Struthio camelus: one gene and its partner. The protein of the gene in region 1 purifies or fractionates together with the protein of each later gene. This does not show direct contact. Links are inferred from orthologs where the notes say so. Each region holds a gene or a part of one and is shown on either strand. Other genes may lie near its edges. The genes, in order: ANKRD28 and PPP6R2.

Evidence for each region.
Region 2: the proteins of ANKRD28 (region 1) and PPP6R2 purify together in Homo sapiens (co-immunoprecipitation; 4 studies listed by BioGRID and IntAct, counting the BioPlex papers as one, with this or other methods). This does not show direct contact. The link is inferred for Struthio camelus from reciprocal best matches to the Homo sapiens genes ANKRD28 and PPP6R2.

What each region holds. Positions count from the first base shown.
Region 1 is NC_090943.1:40,772,107-40,780,178, reverse strand, and holds the start of ANKRD28 (serine/threonine-protein phosphatase 6 regulatory ankyrin repeat subunit A), read left to right. Parts: upstream 1-4,925; 5' UTR 4,926-6,614; coding exon 6,615-6,731; intron 6,732-7,857; coding exon 7,858-7,941; intron 7,942-8,072. UniProt on the Homo sapiens protein: Regulatory subunit of protein phosphatase 6 (PP6) that may be involved in the recognition of phosphoprotein substrates. Involved in the PP6-mediated dephosphorylation of NFKBIE opposing its degradation in response to TNF-alpha.
Region 2 is NC_090942.1:1,008,090-1,015,978, forward strand, and holds the start of PPP6R2 (serine/threonine-protein phosphatase 6 regulatory subunit 2), read right to left. Parts: upstream 3,177-7,889; 5' UTR 3,023-3,176; intron 1-3,022. UniProt on the Homo sapiens protein: Regulatory subunit of protein phosphatase 6 (PP6). May function as a scaffolding PP6 subunit. Involved in the PP6-mediated dephosphorylation of NFKBIE opposing its degradation in response to TNF-alpha.

The DNA of each region.
Region 1 (8,072 bases):
AGCACCGGGAGAATCTGAACTGAGACTGGAGGACTTTTACTCTGTACGGGCTGTTAGTGTAAGAATAGACTGTTGATTTTGATTACAGGATTGTGCATTGCAAAAGCACAAAAAGAAAACCATAGCCAGTGAAATAAAATTTAGCCTTAATGAAAAGGGAAGACTGTTTTGGGTGACATGCTGGCTAGAAAATCATGGGGAGAGATGCTGTTTGCTCAAATTTCTGTTTTCTTTAAAGAAATAGGACTTTTTATGTTTGTTTTTTTCTGATTTTTTTTTTTTTTAGGAACAGCTGTGCTCAGTTCTCTATCCCCACTTTTTTTTTTTCTCCTTCCCTTGCCTCATAGGACAAGTTGCTGTACTCCATATTTTGGATGTCAAAGGTGTTTTTAAAAAAACTGTTGACTTGTTTTGTGTTATGGTGGTTGTAAAATGCTGTAGATCACTGGAGAAGTTCTCTCCATGCATATTGCTCAATGTATAATATATGCAAAAAGCCTTAAATAGAAACTTGCTAGATTGCTATTTCTGAAGTGTTTTTAAAAATGTTAAGGTTTGATTAAAAATGTACAAAAGAAGTTTATATCTCAAACACAAACATGCATTTTGCACTGGTACTTTTTTTTAATACTGCTTCAGTACAGAAAGGTTAGAATGAATGCCTTCTTTTTTTTTTGTGGTATTTGTATCTCAGATTTTATTGAGATGCCTATTCAGTTACTGGATTTTATTAACCACAGTTTCATGTAATCACATGTTTTGTTTGAATTAATATAGTTCTGTAGATTGTTTCAGTCTATGTACACACGTGAGAGAATAAGAACTAAAATTCATCTCTCCCCCCCTCCCACCCCCCACCTTAGACTTATGGTATCCGTGAGTTCTCTAGGTCGGATAGAGTCAAGCGAAGCTATTTTGCTTGTCCTTGGAAGCAAAAGATACAGTGGAGAGAGCAAAGGTTAAGACTAATCTCTCTCTCACACTTTTTTTCTTTCCTGTATCCCAGCTGTGCATATGATCTGGAATAAATAGAGCAAAACTGGGATAAAGGTATAATTTATTATTGCCTTAAACATGTGGAGTCTCCTTCCCTGGAGATATTCAAAACCCGCCTGGATGTGATTCTGGGCAATGTGCTCTAGCGGACCCTGCTTGAGCAGGGGGGTTGGACTAGATGATCTCCAGAGGTCCCTTCCAACCTCAACCATTCTGTGATTCTCTGATTCCATGATTCCTCTTCCTGACTCCACCTCGTTCCCTCAGGACCAGAGAGGAAAGAGCAGGAGGAGTTCACAAGAGTGAGTCACAAGGCTTCTGGAAGTATTGTAGCTTATATTCATGATGATGCTGAACACTGAACACTGTCCCTGTATGGGACGTGTATATATGGGTAAAACTTCAGTAAATTTACAGAAAAATCTGATTATCCTGGGACATAACCTAACTATTATAAACGATCTTTGTGTTACAGGTTGATCCATAGCTTGGGTCTTTGTCTTGCATGGCTGCGAAACTGTTAAATTTTTTTTTGGTAAGCTTTGCTCAGTTTTAAATGCTTCATTTTTACTGGAACCTAACAGCAGAATTTGCTTCTTTTCCTAGATCCCTGATTATGCAAAATATTGAATGAAACTAGTTGCATTAATCTCAGCCCAGAAAAGACTTTGTAAAAGCTGATTGGCAAGAGAGAAATCTTCATTCGAGTAGGATCATTGATATTGAATGTGCCTCAGTGAGGTTTTCAGTGTCACTGGCAGTCTTGCTTCCGTCCTCTGCTCATCAGTTCCTGACGAAACGGATAGATCTCTAGAAAATGTTACTATTTTTAGCTCCTAAAAAGTTTCTGTTCTTTCTCTCTGTTACTGGACATGCTGCCATCATCCATGTTTTAACCTGTAGGTTGCACTCTTCTGATGTATTCTCTTTATTGTCACCCACAAAAGTCACTTGGAATTTGATTTATTTAAAGACAAGATATTTTTATTTGCAAAAAGCAGTTTGGTCAACACAAGCTGTTTTTCACAAATATACATTCTCACTTTTGTCTGCTTAAAAATTCTCTTTATTCGGTGTCTCGTTGTTGTCCTCTTTAGAATTTGAGAGTTAAGTGTGGAGATCTTGTTTTGTTAACAGTTCACTATTGCAGGGACTCAGTTAGATCACCCCAATAGAAATGATATTCCATTACTAAAGTTAGGCCACTCTTGACTCATCTTTCCTACTACTCCTTTAAGAAGCTTTTTAATATCAGATATGTAGAATTTAATCTGGAAAGGCCTTTGAAGGCTTTATAGATGATAGATGCTGATGACCAGCTGATCTTCAGTTGTTTTAAATGTTACTAAGATAAACTGAAAAGTATGTTTCGAGAGATGCAGTATTCTGTCTTCATAACTTTGTGAGGCTCTGTCATTTAAAAAATTAGTTTGGGAAGAGGGTACTTCAGTTAATTCTCCTGAACGTAGATTGCCTTCCTTCTCTGCTGCTATTATCTTTTCTCCCTCACTGAAAGTTATTAGTTCTCAGATAATCTGCTGGAAAAACAGAAACCTTAGTTTGCTTTCCTTCAGTGAAATTGTGAACGTAAGCTTTTGGCTTTCAGAGTAGCTATTAACAGCTTGTATTTTGCAAATCAAAGGAGACCTTGGACTGTTTTTTGAAGTTGAAAAAAAGAGATGATTAGAGACAATATGACAATATTTTTATTGACTTGAAGACACTACTTTCAATTGGGGGTGGGGAGGGAAGAAGATTGTTCTTTTAAGCATGCAAAATAACCTGGTTTAGTATGCAGTAGGTCAGTAAATTTAGGTGTTCACTCCCAAACCATATTGTATATTTTAAGAGTATTAAAATAGCAAGCACGAGTTAATTGTAAGTTAAAAAGTTCAATGTTTCTAAAATTAGATTGTCCTTTGGGTGTGAAAGTAATTAAATGGCACACTTGTAGTGTGAGTAATTTTTTTTTTTTTTTAATGTCTTCTACTAACATACATGGTTCAGAATGCTATCAAGGTCAATATAATATTGATTTAATTGTGCTAGCTCTCTTTTTAATGTAAGCTGTGGCATACTGGCTTTTAACACTTTTTGCCTATAGAAATGTGACCATTTAAAAATGTAACATACAAGATTGAAGATGTCAACTTGCTTATGGAAATAGTTTATATGTATTTTATTTATAGGTAAGATATCTAGAATAATAATTGGAGTAGATTCAGATGTTCTTAACTCTTCACACTTATTTCACTGTGAAAATTCAGAAGTTCTGTAATTTTTAAATGTATTTCGATCATGAATTGCAAGGATCAAAAATGGACAAGTTTCAGATATGTGAAATTAAACTAAACTGAGCATTATGTAACTAGACTTGTTGCTATGTAATGCTAATTCAAAGTAAAGTCTGGAACTCTTAATGTTTGCTTGCTGTATAAACTTACTGGCTCTGAAAAAGTGCTCATTTCTACTTAACATATGGACTCCGCTAGACTACCATTATCTAACTAACGTACGTGTGTGTGTATATACAAAGATAGCGTGAAAAACATGTTTACACTTTGTAAGTCTACTTTGCTTATAGACTTAAGATGTGATTATTTTTTTTCATAATAATGTTTAGTTATGCAAGTGAACAAGAGTGTCAATTCCTTAGGGTGTTTTTCACAAATAAAAAAAACTAAAAATTCTCTATGGATTGTGGTTGCTGTGTTCCTTTGCACGCAGTAGGATGGTGCAGTAGATGCGCCTGGAGGATGTCCTGGTTTTTATTTAAATTAATTGTACTTTTATTGCGACCAGGAAGGACGTTTAGAGGTACTCATATGAACGTATCATTTCTTTTTAATAAATTGTTGAAGTGCCAGAATAATGCAGTGTAGGGTACCAACCATTGCTTTTTCTTAATTAAGACCAAAAGTATGAAATTATAAAACAACCGGACTCTATATATATATATAGTGATGAATGAGGTACATTCATGAAGATGTGTGTTACTCACATGCTGTAAATCGGAGCATTTGGGAAAGCTGAACCTTACCAGAAGTTTCACAGTGAAACCGAAGCTTGTGCTGCGTTCTGCCAGGCCAGCGACCCTAAGCTCAGGCAGTCTTAGGCTACGTAATATAGGGTTTTTGTAAGTGCAAAAGTGTTATCTGCAGGAAGTGTCAGTAGTTGTTTTTTTTTTTTTTTTTAAAAGAATGTATTATGTTGCAGTGAAGCTATTGCAGACATTATTTTAAAATAGAGGTGATGTGAGCTTTTCCTTTCACTGGGCCTCCAAAGATGGGAATTCAGTTTGTCTATTAATATCCAAGCCATTTAATATACCCTTTAAGTCTTTCTCTCTGCCTGGATGAATATGTGAAACTTGAGTGAGAGTGTTTTGTGGAAGAGTTATAAAATTCTTCAACTTGTTCACCATTGACAAATTATGCTCCTATCAGCTGCTAAAGGACGTTAGCAGAAGTACCTCCACGCTGCGCAGGATGAACAAGAAGCCCTCCCTCTGTTCATGTAACGCTGAAGCATTTCCAGCAACTCTGACAGGATTCATTTACATAATACACCCACAAACCAGCACTGTTTAAGTAGATTCAAGCTGAAATATGTATTCAGCAAGTTGTAGGACTTTATTTTATTCAAATTATACTTGATGTAATTCTTCTTTCAGGCTGAGGGTCTGTTGGTGTCTACTAGTTGCAACAAAACATGGGTTTGGTCATTAATGACTAGCTTTTAATAGTCAACTGATTACTTTTAAGAGAGATTTTACTTTCATTTCATTTTCAGAAGACTTCTGTGGGGAGTTTCTTGTCTTCAAGGAGTTAAGCAAGGATTGTTTTGCTGCTCCGGCCAGTGCCATATGAAAGCAGTTAAAATGCTGGAATTGTTTACCGCCTAAATTGTTGTTAGTCAGCAGAGCCAGTACACCAGATTTCTTTGTGGCTTTTAGTGGAAAATATTAAACAGTCGCTCTTTCTTCAGTTATAGAATTTTTACGTTTTGAGATGAATTAGTCACGGAACTGGCACAAACATTGCCTCTGCAGAGACTGCCCAAAGGGCGCTTTTTTGTTTCTTTTTTTTTCTTTTTCCCTGGAGGAAGTTGCATTGCGCGCGGTAGCTCAGTTCTCGGGTAAGTGTGACATGTGAGCATTACTAGGCGTTTCATCCTGCGAGCCTGCAGTCTGTGCGCTGTCGGCTCCTGCTCAGTTGGAAAGCTGCTGTGGCTGTGGCTTGTGCTCCGCTCCTCCGGTCTCCTAATGACCGATTCAGACAGGCTTTTTTTCTTCTTCTTCTTAAGCTTTGCAAGACTTATCTGCTGATCACATCATTTAATCTGTCAAGGAAAAATTGATAAGCGGAACCTTTAACTGAAGAGGAGAATCAGGTTGGCACAGTGACAGATGTTTGAATAAAGAAGTTGGCTCAGAGAAGATGCACGGAGTCTGATTTTTTTTTTTTTCCTCCTTCCTTTTTTTTTTCCTCTTTCCCTCCTTCCTCTCCCCCTCAATCTGAATGAAGACTATCATGGGAACTGTATTCACATGGTGATCAAAAGAAACACTTGAGTGATGAACTGCTTTTGCAGAAGTCGTCTCAGGCAGTAATCTGAGCTTTTGTGCCGTGGTAGCTAGCTTGTTTTGCTGAAGCGTTCGTTCTGCCTAACGCAGTCCCTGATGGAGAAGCCACAGCTCTTGCCTGCTGAAGGAGAACCGAACACTCTGCGTTGCTTGTGTCACTGATGGAGTAAAGCTGTCTTCGTGGCTGTCATTTGGGGAATCTGGATTAAACAGGCAATGTTATTCAAGGAGTTCCATTGTCCCTGTGGTCTGACTCATCGCATGTAAATGTGCTGCAGCCGTGCTGTACATTGCAGATATTTTTATTGCATGGGAAAGAATTATCATCCTCTGACCATGTTCTGAATAAGTGCTGAGAAGCAGATGCGTTTTTCAGATGGACTGTTTTTGACATTGACAACTGAAGCTGTAGAATTACAGGGTGACTAGAACCGGTGTTATTTTCAGTCACCAGCAAGGCGGCTGCTGTTCATTTGTCAGTGACCTTGCAGGCTCGGGTCTAGCTGCGGCCGTCCCCGTCAGGGCAATTGTTCCCTGCTGCAGGCTGCACAGGCTGGTGTCACGCCGCCCGCAACAATGGCTGCACTGTGCGCCTAACGCTGCGCCGCTCAAGTGGCGGCATTAGCAAAGACAAATTTGCTGGTGAAAGGACAGCTATTTGAGGCGGTGCATTCTGTTCCGATTGAATTGGATCTGGAGATATTTTTATCAGCTTGTTCCACAGTTTCACTGTTGCGGTCTTGATGCGGAGTGAAATTTTATTTAAAAAAAAAAAAAAGAACAACTTTTTTTTTTTAACCATTGTCATGAACGTCTCAGGGTGTTTAAATCTGAACAATGAAGTGCAAGGACGGACTGGAGTGTTCTTTTTTAAATGTTAATACACCGGCAGTAGCACTTGCAAGTTTGTGAGGGTACGTGAAAGAGGTGAAAGTATTTCCTGTATGCTCCGTGTTGTGCTACCGACAGTGGGCTTCCAGAAATATAGTTGCCGGCATTTTTTCGTTTGCTTTTCCTTCCTCAAACGGATCGAATGAGTCGAGTCTGTATTGTTGTTTTGGAGGAGGTGGAAGATGATTCTCCCACGTTTATTTCCAAAATACCTCAGGAAAATATATCTTTACGCCCGTCGCCCTCTGGAAACGCGCTGGTAAGGCATGTCGTCTGTTGGCATATTTCCTGTTCATGCTGCGGTTGCAAGTGCCACTAGTAATTGTCATAAGGCTGACATGAATACGCCTGATGTTGAAACCAGAGGGGAGAGGGTAAAAACTGCCCACGCTGAACAGTGGGGGAAAAGTTGAAGCTTAGTTGTAGAATTAATATTTGCAGGGGCTCCTTCCTTTGCATGTGACTTTACTTGTGGTGCAGCAATAACAAATCTCAACTCCTGCATAGTAGCAAACGATTTCTAGAGGGCCTGGTAAAACTGTGGCTGAAGTAAATGTTTCTCCCCTCACTTCTCTCCCCGTTCCTCAATGGTGTATTTGTGCAGTACCAGTTTAGAAACTGAGGTAATCGTTATATCGCCATCATTTGTTGTGTTTATTTTGAGAACTGATACAGTAGATTGTGTACATGAAGCAACAGCAGTTATAAGCTAAAATGAAAAAAGGGCAGAGGTCATCATATAGACCTAACTTAGATTCAGGTTGTTGCTTCCTAGACACGGTCGACACTGTGGGTGCAGCGCCTTTAATTTCTTTAAATGATTTTACTTTGTCAAGTGCCTGACTAAAATCGTGCGAGCGTATCTCAGCAGCTTTTCTTACTTACTAAGAAATCCTACTATATTTAGTAATACGTGTGTGTGAGTGTGAATTTGTTACCATACTTATCTGATATCAGCACTTTGCTTTCTTACTCTGTAACCAAACAGGTGAAAATTTCTAATAACTTTAGTCACTTGCTAACGTAAAAGGGATTTGTTTACATATATTTTATAGAATCCACAGTACGTGTTAACAAGCTCACTTTATTTTAAGCCTTAATTGTATTATAAGGATTTCTCTTTTCAGCCCTTATAGCTAGCGTTCCAGCCTTTCTGTGGTTGGGGCAATGACCTGAGTATGTTGGTGTGTTGGAGGTTTTTAAAACTTGGAAATCTTTCAGTTCGGTTGTTTCTCATTTTTCATTTCACTGCCTGGGATGTTCTCTTTTGTCCTTGTTTGGTGTTTGTGTGTTATGTATCCAAAAACCATGCATGTGTCGACACAAAGTAAAATGGAATTATACTCTAAGATGTGTTCCTTTTTTTTTTTTCTTCTTCCTTTCAGCCACCTTTGGTTCAAGCTATATTTAATGGAGATCCTGATGAAGTTCGAGCACTAATATTTAAGAAAGAAGATGTTAATTTTCAGGTAAGAACAAATGTCTTTGGCTTTGAATACAAAATTCATTTCATTTTAATACAGCTTTCTACTGTACTAATCACTTTAGACCTTTGCTAATTCAAGAGCTTCTGTTTTAGTGCTTTTATGTAGAAGGCAAA
Region 2 (7,889 bases), on another chromosome or scaffold:
GCATAGTTGAACTGATTCTCCCATCTACAAAACAAAATTAAGAACAGAATTGTGTTACCCTGTAAAAAGGGATAGAAGACCATTAAATATGGAGCCACAAATCTAGAGTAACCACTTAGATGAGAGCTGATATCTTTCATTAATACAGATTATTAATTCAAGAAAACTGAAAAACTGATTGAGAAGAGCAGGGTTAAGGTCTAGCAAAACAACAAGAATTCCTACAAGTATACCTCAAAGTTCTCAAAAGATTCCATCAACTACTTAGCTCTTGATTTACTCTCAACTTGACCTCCTCTAGTTTTCCTGCACCATTTATATCCAAGTTTCCCAGTTATTCTTGTCATTCTACTATTGTTTCAGAAGTGTTTACTATAACAAGATACTCTTCTATTTCTTGGCATTCCAGTTCACCCATTTTTTATGGCTGCCCTTATTACACTGTTCTAGTTACTGCCCTTCAGGCACTAACACTTTAGTCTCCAAGCCGCAGTGTTAAAAAAACGTACTACTTGATTGTGTGTGTGTGAAGCTATTTTCCCTAACATATAATCAGCAGTTTCTACCCTCACAGGTCTACAAATCTTATTAGCAGAGACAGAAAAGAAGAAAGCTCATCTTCCCTACCTCCTCCCCTGCCCAACTCTGTTCAGATGCATTACCTTTCTTCACTGAAGTTTGGTACTACTAATCCCCTACTGCATTGGGGGGGGGAGGGGGGGGCGGGCAGGGGAGGAAACAGTTTTGGTTTCTCTTTTGACACTTTAGCTGATGGCCAATAAAACTCAGGGGAAAATATGGAAGGAAGTGCTCCTTCCATGGAGGATGGAAAAATATGGCCAGTTAGCCTGGGATGTCTCCTTACGGAGGAAGGAGAGAAACACAGCTAAGTGATTCCTTCTTCTAGCTCAGGACTGTACTAACTGGGGATAGCAAGAATTTAATTCATTCCAGCTGACTCCCCATATGACCAATGAAGTATGAGTCACAAGTGGCAGGGGGAAACACAGACAGAAGGGCTGTCTATCCTTAACAGCTCTCCTGGTACCCCTTTTCAAAAGGCAACTTGCAAGGGTTTTTGAGCTTTCCTCCCAAGGCAGCACTGCATCTAACAGCCTATGCCACTAGTGACAACAGCCTGTAGTTTTCTAAAAATAATTTAGGCCCACAGAACAAGCAAGCTTGAATACCGTTAGAATAAAAACACTGTAAATTTTTAATCATAGTTTTCTCTTTATTATTCACTTTGATTCAATATCCTCCCATTTCTCAACCATGAACTTACAAATTCAACCTGTCCCTTCCACAAACAACTATAAATTCATCAAACATTGGGTAAAGAACGAAGACGCTTCAGTGCTCCCTCCCATCCCCTAAACAAGCGGTCGACATCAGTCACTTTTTCAAAGTTTCAAATCTGTAGGAATCTCGCAAAACCTCAGCACTTGTTTTCTGTACCACACCTCTGATACCATTCTGCTGCAGACTGAGCTTTTCCCAAAAGGCTTCTGCAGTGCCTCCAAATTCCCACAGTTCCTAGATCAGACACTGTCCTAGGTCCCAGAATTTGCAACTTAAGACAAAGAAAGTATAAAAGTCACCAGAAGTATATGCACGTCAAATACATGAAAACAAAGTAAGTTCTCAATTTCAAGCAATTTTTTCATGTCCAATCTTCACTCACCTTCTCCTGAGCAAGTCTTTACTGGGACCACTTAAGCTAGTACAGATCATGATCTGTTCCTATTGCATATTCCAAAATTTAACTTTCCTTACCATGCTATCACCCTCAGTTGCTATGGAAATTGTTATACTATCAGCTGTTGGATTTTTTTTTTAAACCACCAAAAGTAACTAGTTTGCCAAAATATTTTTAAGTGACAGAGTAATAGCAGAAGTCATAAATGTTTACTCCCTTGTCATTCTTAAAGCAGTGTTCTATCAAAAAAAGTCTGCTAGCTAGTGATTACATGCTTGGCTTCAAACACATGTGTAGCTCATAACAGGACTGAGTCTAAAAATTACAACTCTGTTCTATGTTTTTGATGGGGAAAATAAACTACACTATGGAAACAAGCTTCAGTCTTAAAAATAAGTCTTAAGCAGGAGATCAAGATAGGAAAAATACCTCAAGTCCTTCCAAGTTCTCTCAATTTCTCTTTTTCACTTCCTAGTTTTTTGGGGTTTTTTGTTTTTTTCTAAAGCTAGCACAAAACAAGGCCTTCAAATTAGGAAAGAAACCTCCATTAAAGCGGCCAAGAAAAAGCCTTCCTGTAAGATCATGTGCCGCAGTAATTCGATCTGCGGCTACAGCTCCTACCACAGTTTCCGCGCGTTAATACCACCAGCCCAGGACCCTTATTTCCACCGACCGCCCGGGCCGGAGCCCGCGGGGCCCCTGGGCTCAGGTGCGCGGCGCCGCCGCCGCCCCGCGGGTGCTGCCAAGCGGCGGCCGCGCGCGGGCCGCGGAACGGGCGAAGCCGCTGCGCCCCCTCAGCCGACCGCACCCGCTCAGCGGCGAACTCCTGACGGGCCCCGCGCTCCGGGGGGGGGGGGGGGGGGGGGGCGACCTCGGGGGCCGTTCACCCCAGAGGCGGCACCAAGCGACGCCCGGGAACTTCGGCAGGGCGCGGGGAAGGGGCCAGCGCAGCGGCCGGCGAAGGCGGAATCAAGAAGAGGGGCCCGGGCGACCAGCACCGCCCGGACCAAAAACAAATAAATACAGTAAAAACGCGGAGCAGGCGCAGCCGGACACGGCCTCCAGCCCAGGCAGCGCTCCGGGGCCGGGCGGCTCCGCGGGGCCCGGGCCGGCGGCGGCGCTGACAGGGCGGCAGGCCGCGCACCGCCTCCGCGCCGGGCCCAGCGCCGCGCCGCGCCGCAGGAAGCAGGAAGCGGCCGGTGGAGCGGAGCAGGCCGCGCCGAGCGCCCCGGCTCCGGCCCCGGAGGGCCGCGGCGGCGCGGGCCGCGGCGGCGGTGACAGCTCGGCGGCGGCGCGGTCGGCGGGCCCGGCCGCGGGTCTCACCTGCTGGCCGTCCGGCCTGGCCGTCCCCGTGGCGGCGGGGCCGCCGCCGCCGTGCGCTGCCTGGGCTGCGAGAGCCGGCGGGCCGAGGGCATGGGCCGCGGGCGGAGCGCGGGGCGCCGCGGCCGGGCTGCGCTGCGCTGACAGCGGCGGCGAGGCGGCGGCGAGCTGGCGGGCGCTCCGGCTGCCTCCAAAATGGCGGCGGCGCTGCCTGCCTACCCGAGGGCGGGGCGCGGCGGGGGGCGGGGCCGAGGGGGCACATGGGCGGGGGCGGGGCCTGGGCGGCGGGGCGGAGTCGGGGCGGGGGCGGCGCCAGCAGCCAGCCACGGGGACGGGGCAAGGCGGGACAGGTCACAGCCCCGGGGAGGGGGACAGGGCTTGGTGGGACATGTCACAGCCCTGGGGATGGTAGGACAGGGCTTGGTGGGACATGTCACAGCCCTGGGGATGGTGGGACAGGTCACAGCCCCGGGACGGGGACAGGGCTTGGTGGGACATGTCACAGCCCTGGGGACGGCGGGACAGGTCACAGCCCCCGGGGACGGGGACAGGGCTTGGTGGGACATGTCACAGCCCTGGGGATGGTGAGACAGCTCACAGCCCCCGGGGACGGGGACAGGGCTTGGTGGGACATGTCACAGCCCTGGGGATGGTGAGACAGCTCACAGCCCCCGGGGACGGGGACAGGGCTTGGTGGGACATGTCACAGCCCTGGGGATGGTGGGACAGGTCACAGCCCCGGGGAGGGGGACAGGGCTTGGTGGGACATGTCACAGCCCTGGGGATGGTGGGACAGGGCACAGCCCCCGGGGACGGGGACAGGGCTTGGTGGGACATGTCACAGTCCTGGGGATGGCGGGACAGGTCACAGCCCCGGGGAGGGGGACAGGGCTTGGTGGGACATGTCACAGCCCTGGGGATGGTAGGATAGGGCACAGCCCCCGGGGACGGGGACAGGGCTTGGTGGGACATGTCACAGCCCTGGGGATGGAGGGACAGGTCACAGCCCCGGGGACGGGGACAGGGCTTGGTGGGACATGTCACAGCCCTGGGGATGGTAGGACAGGGCACAGCCCCGGGGACGGGGACAGGGCTTGGTGGGACATGTCACAGCCCTGGGGATGGTAGGACAGGTCACAGCCCCCGGGGACGGGGACAGGGCTTGGTGGGACATGTCACAGCCCTGGGGATGGTAGGACAGGTCACAGCCCCTGGGGACGGGGACAGGGCTTGGTGGGACATGTCACAGCCCTGGGGATGGTGGGACAGGTCACAGCCCCCGGGGACGGGGACAGGGCTTGGTGGGACATGTCACAGCCCTGGGGATGGTGGGACAGGTCACAGCCCCCGGGGACGGGGACAGGGCTTGGTGGGACATGTCACAGCCCTGAGGATGGTAGGACAGGTCACAGCCCCCGGGGATGGGGACAGGGCTTGGTGGGACATGTCACAGCCCTGGGGATGGTAGGACAGGGCTTGGTGGGACATGTCACAGCCCTGGGGATGGTGGGACAGGTCACAGCCCCGGGGACGGGGACAGGGCTTGGTGGGACATGTCACAACCCTGGGGATGGTGGGACAGGTCACAGCCCCCGGGGACGGGGACAGGGCTTGGTGGGACATGTCACAGCCCTGGGGATGGTGGGACAGGTCACAGCCCCCGGGGACGGGGACAGGGCTTGGTGGGACATGTCACAGCCCTGGGGATGGTAGGACAGGTCACAGCCCCTGGGGACGGGGACAGGGCTTGGTGGGACATGTCACAGCCTGGGGATGGTGGGACAGGTCACAGCCCCCGGGGACGGGGACAGGGCTTGGTGGGACATGTCACAGCCCTGGGGATGGTGGGACAGGTCACAGCCCCGGGACGGGGACAGGGCTTGGTGGGACATGTCACAGCCCTGGGGATGGTAGGACAGGTCACAGCCCCGGGGAGGGGGACAGGGCTTGGTGGGACATGTCACAGCCCTGGGGATGGTGGGACAGGGCACAGCCCCCGGGGAGGGGGACAGGGCTTGGTGGGAAATGTCACAGCCCTGGGGATGGTGGGACAGGTCACAGCCCCCGGGGAGGGGGACAGGGCTTGGTGGGACATGTCACAGCCCTGAGGATGGTAGGACAGGTCACAGCCCCCGGGGATGGGGACAGGGCTTGGTGGGACATGTCACAGCCCTGGGGATGGTAGGACAGGGCTTGGTGGGACATGTCACAGCCCTGGGGATGGTGGGACAGGTCACAGCCCCGGGGACGGGGACAGGGCTTGGTGGGACATGTCACAGCCCTGGGGATGGTGGGACAGGTCACAGCCCCCAGGGACGGGGACAGGGCTTGGTGGGACATGTCACAGCCCTGGGGATGGTGGGACAGGTCACAGCCCCCGGGGACGGGGACAGGGCTTGGTGGGACATGTCACAGCCCTGGGGATGGTGGGACAGGTCACAGCCCCCGGGGAGGGGGACAGGGCTTGGTGGGACATGTCACAGCCCTGGGGATGGTGGGACAGGGCACAGCCCCGGGACGGGGACAGGGCTTGGTGGGACATGTCACAGCCCTGGGGATGGTGGGACAGGTCACAGCCCCTGGGGACGGGGACAGGGCTTGGTGGGACATGTCACAGCCCTGGGGATGGTGGGACAGGTCACAGCCCCCGGGGACGGGGACAGGGCTTGGTGGGACATGTCACAGCCCTGGGGATGGTGGGACAGGGCACAGCCCCGGGGACAGGGACAGGGCTTGGTGGGACATGTCACAGCCCTGGGGATGGTGGGACAGGTCACAGCCCCGGGGAGGGGGACAGGGCTTGGTGGGACATGTCACAGCCCTGGGGATGGTGGGACAGGTCACAGCCCCGGGGAGGGGGACAGGGCTTGGTGGGACATGTCACAGCCCTGGGGATGGTGGGACAGGGCACAGCCCCGGGGACGGGGACAGGGCTTGGTGGGACATGTCACAGCCCTGGGGATGGTGGGACAGGTCACAGCCCCCGGGGACGGGGACAGGGCTTGGTGGGACATGTCACAGCCCTGAGGATGGTAGGACAGGTCACAGCCCCCGGGGATGGGGACAGGGCTTGGTGGGACATGTCACAGCCCTGGGGATGGTAGGACAGGGCTTGGTGGGACATGTCACAGCCCTGGGGATGGTGGGACAGGTCACAGCCCCCGGGGACGGGGACAGGGCTTGGTGGGACATGTCACAGCCCTGGGGATGGTGGGACAGGTCACAGCCCCCGGGGACGGGGACAGGGCTTGGTGGGACATGTCACAGCCCTGGGGATGGTAGGACAGGTCACAGCCCCTGGGGACGGGGACAGGGCTTGGTGGGACATGTCACAGCCTGGGGATGGTGGGACAGGTCACAGCCCCCGGGGACGGGGACAGGGCTTGGTGGGACATGTCACAGCCCTGGGGATGGTGGGACAGGTCACAGCCCCGGGACGGGGACAGGGCTTGGTGGGACATGTCACAGCCCTGGGGATGGTAGGACAGGTCACAGCCCCCGGGGACGGGGACAGGGCTTGGTGGGACATGTCACAGCCCTGGGGATGGTGGGACAGGGCACAGCCCCCGGGGAGGGGGACAGGGCTTGGTGGGAAATGTCACAGCCCTGGGGATGGTGGGACAGGGCACAGCCCCGGGGACGGGGACAGGGCTTGGTGGGACATGTCACAGCCCTGGGGATAGCGGGACAGGTCACAGCCCCGGGGAGGGGGACAGGGCTTGGTGGGACATGTCACAGCCCTGGGGATGGCGGGACAGGGCACAGCCCCGGGGAGGGGGACAGGGCTTGGTGGGACATGTCACAGCCCTGGGGATGGTAGGACAGGTCACAGCCCCGGGGACGGGGACAGGGCTTGGTGGGACATGTCACAGCCCTGGGGATGGTGGGACAGGTCACAGCCCCCGGGGACGGGGACAGGGCTTGGTGGGACATGTCACAGCCCTGGGGATGGTAGGATAGGGCACAGCCCCCGGGGACGGGGACAGGGCTTGGTGGGACATGTCACAGCCCTGGGGATGGTAGGACAGGGCTTGGTGGGACATCTCACAGCCCTGGGGATGGTGGGACAGGGCACAGCCCCCGGGGACGGGGACAGGGCTTGGTGGGACATGTCACAGCCCTGGGGATGGTGGGACAGGTCACAGCCCCCGGGGAGGGGGACAGGGCTTGGTGGGACATGTCACAGCCCTGGGGATGGTAGGACAGGGCACAGCCCCCGGGACGGGGACAGGGCTTGGTGGGACATGTCACAGCCCTGGGGATGGTAGGACAGGGCACAGCCCCCGAGGACGGGGACAGGGCTTGGTGGGACATGTCACAGCCCTGGGGATGGTGGGACAGGGCACAGCCCCGGGGACGGGGACAGGGCTTGGTGGGACATGTCACAGCCCTGGGGATGGTGGGACAGGTCACAGCCCCCGGGGAGGGGGACAGGGCTTGGTGGGACATGTCACAGCCCTGGGGATGGTAGGACAGGGCACAGCCCCCGGGACGGGGACAGGGCTTGGTGGGACATGTCACAGCCCTGGGGATGGTAGGACAGGGCACAGCCCCCGGGGACGGGGACAGGGCTTGGTGGGACATGTCACAGCCCTGGGGATGGTGGGACAGGGCACAGCCCCGGGGACGGGGACAGGGCTTGGTGGGACATGTCACAGCCCTGGGGATGGTAGGGCAGGTCACAGCCCTGGGGATGGGGACAGGGCTTGGTGGGACATGTCACAGCCCTGGGGATGGTAGGACAGGGCACAGCCCCCGGGGACGGGGACAGGGCTTGGTGGGACATGTCACAGCCCTGGGGATGGTAGGACAGGGCACAGCCCCCGCGACGGAGACAGGGCTTGGTGGGACATGTCACAGCCCTGGGGAT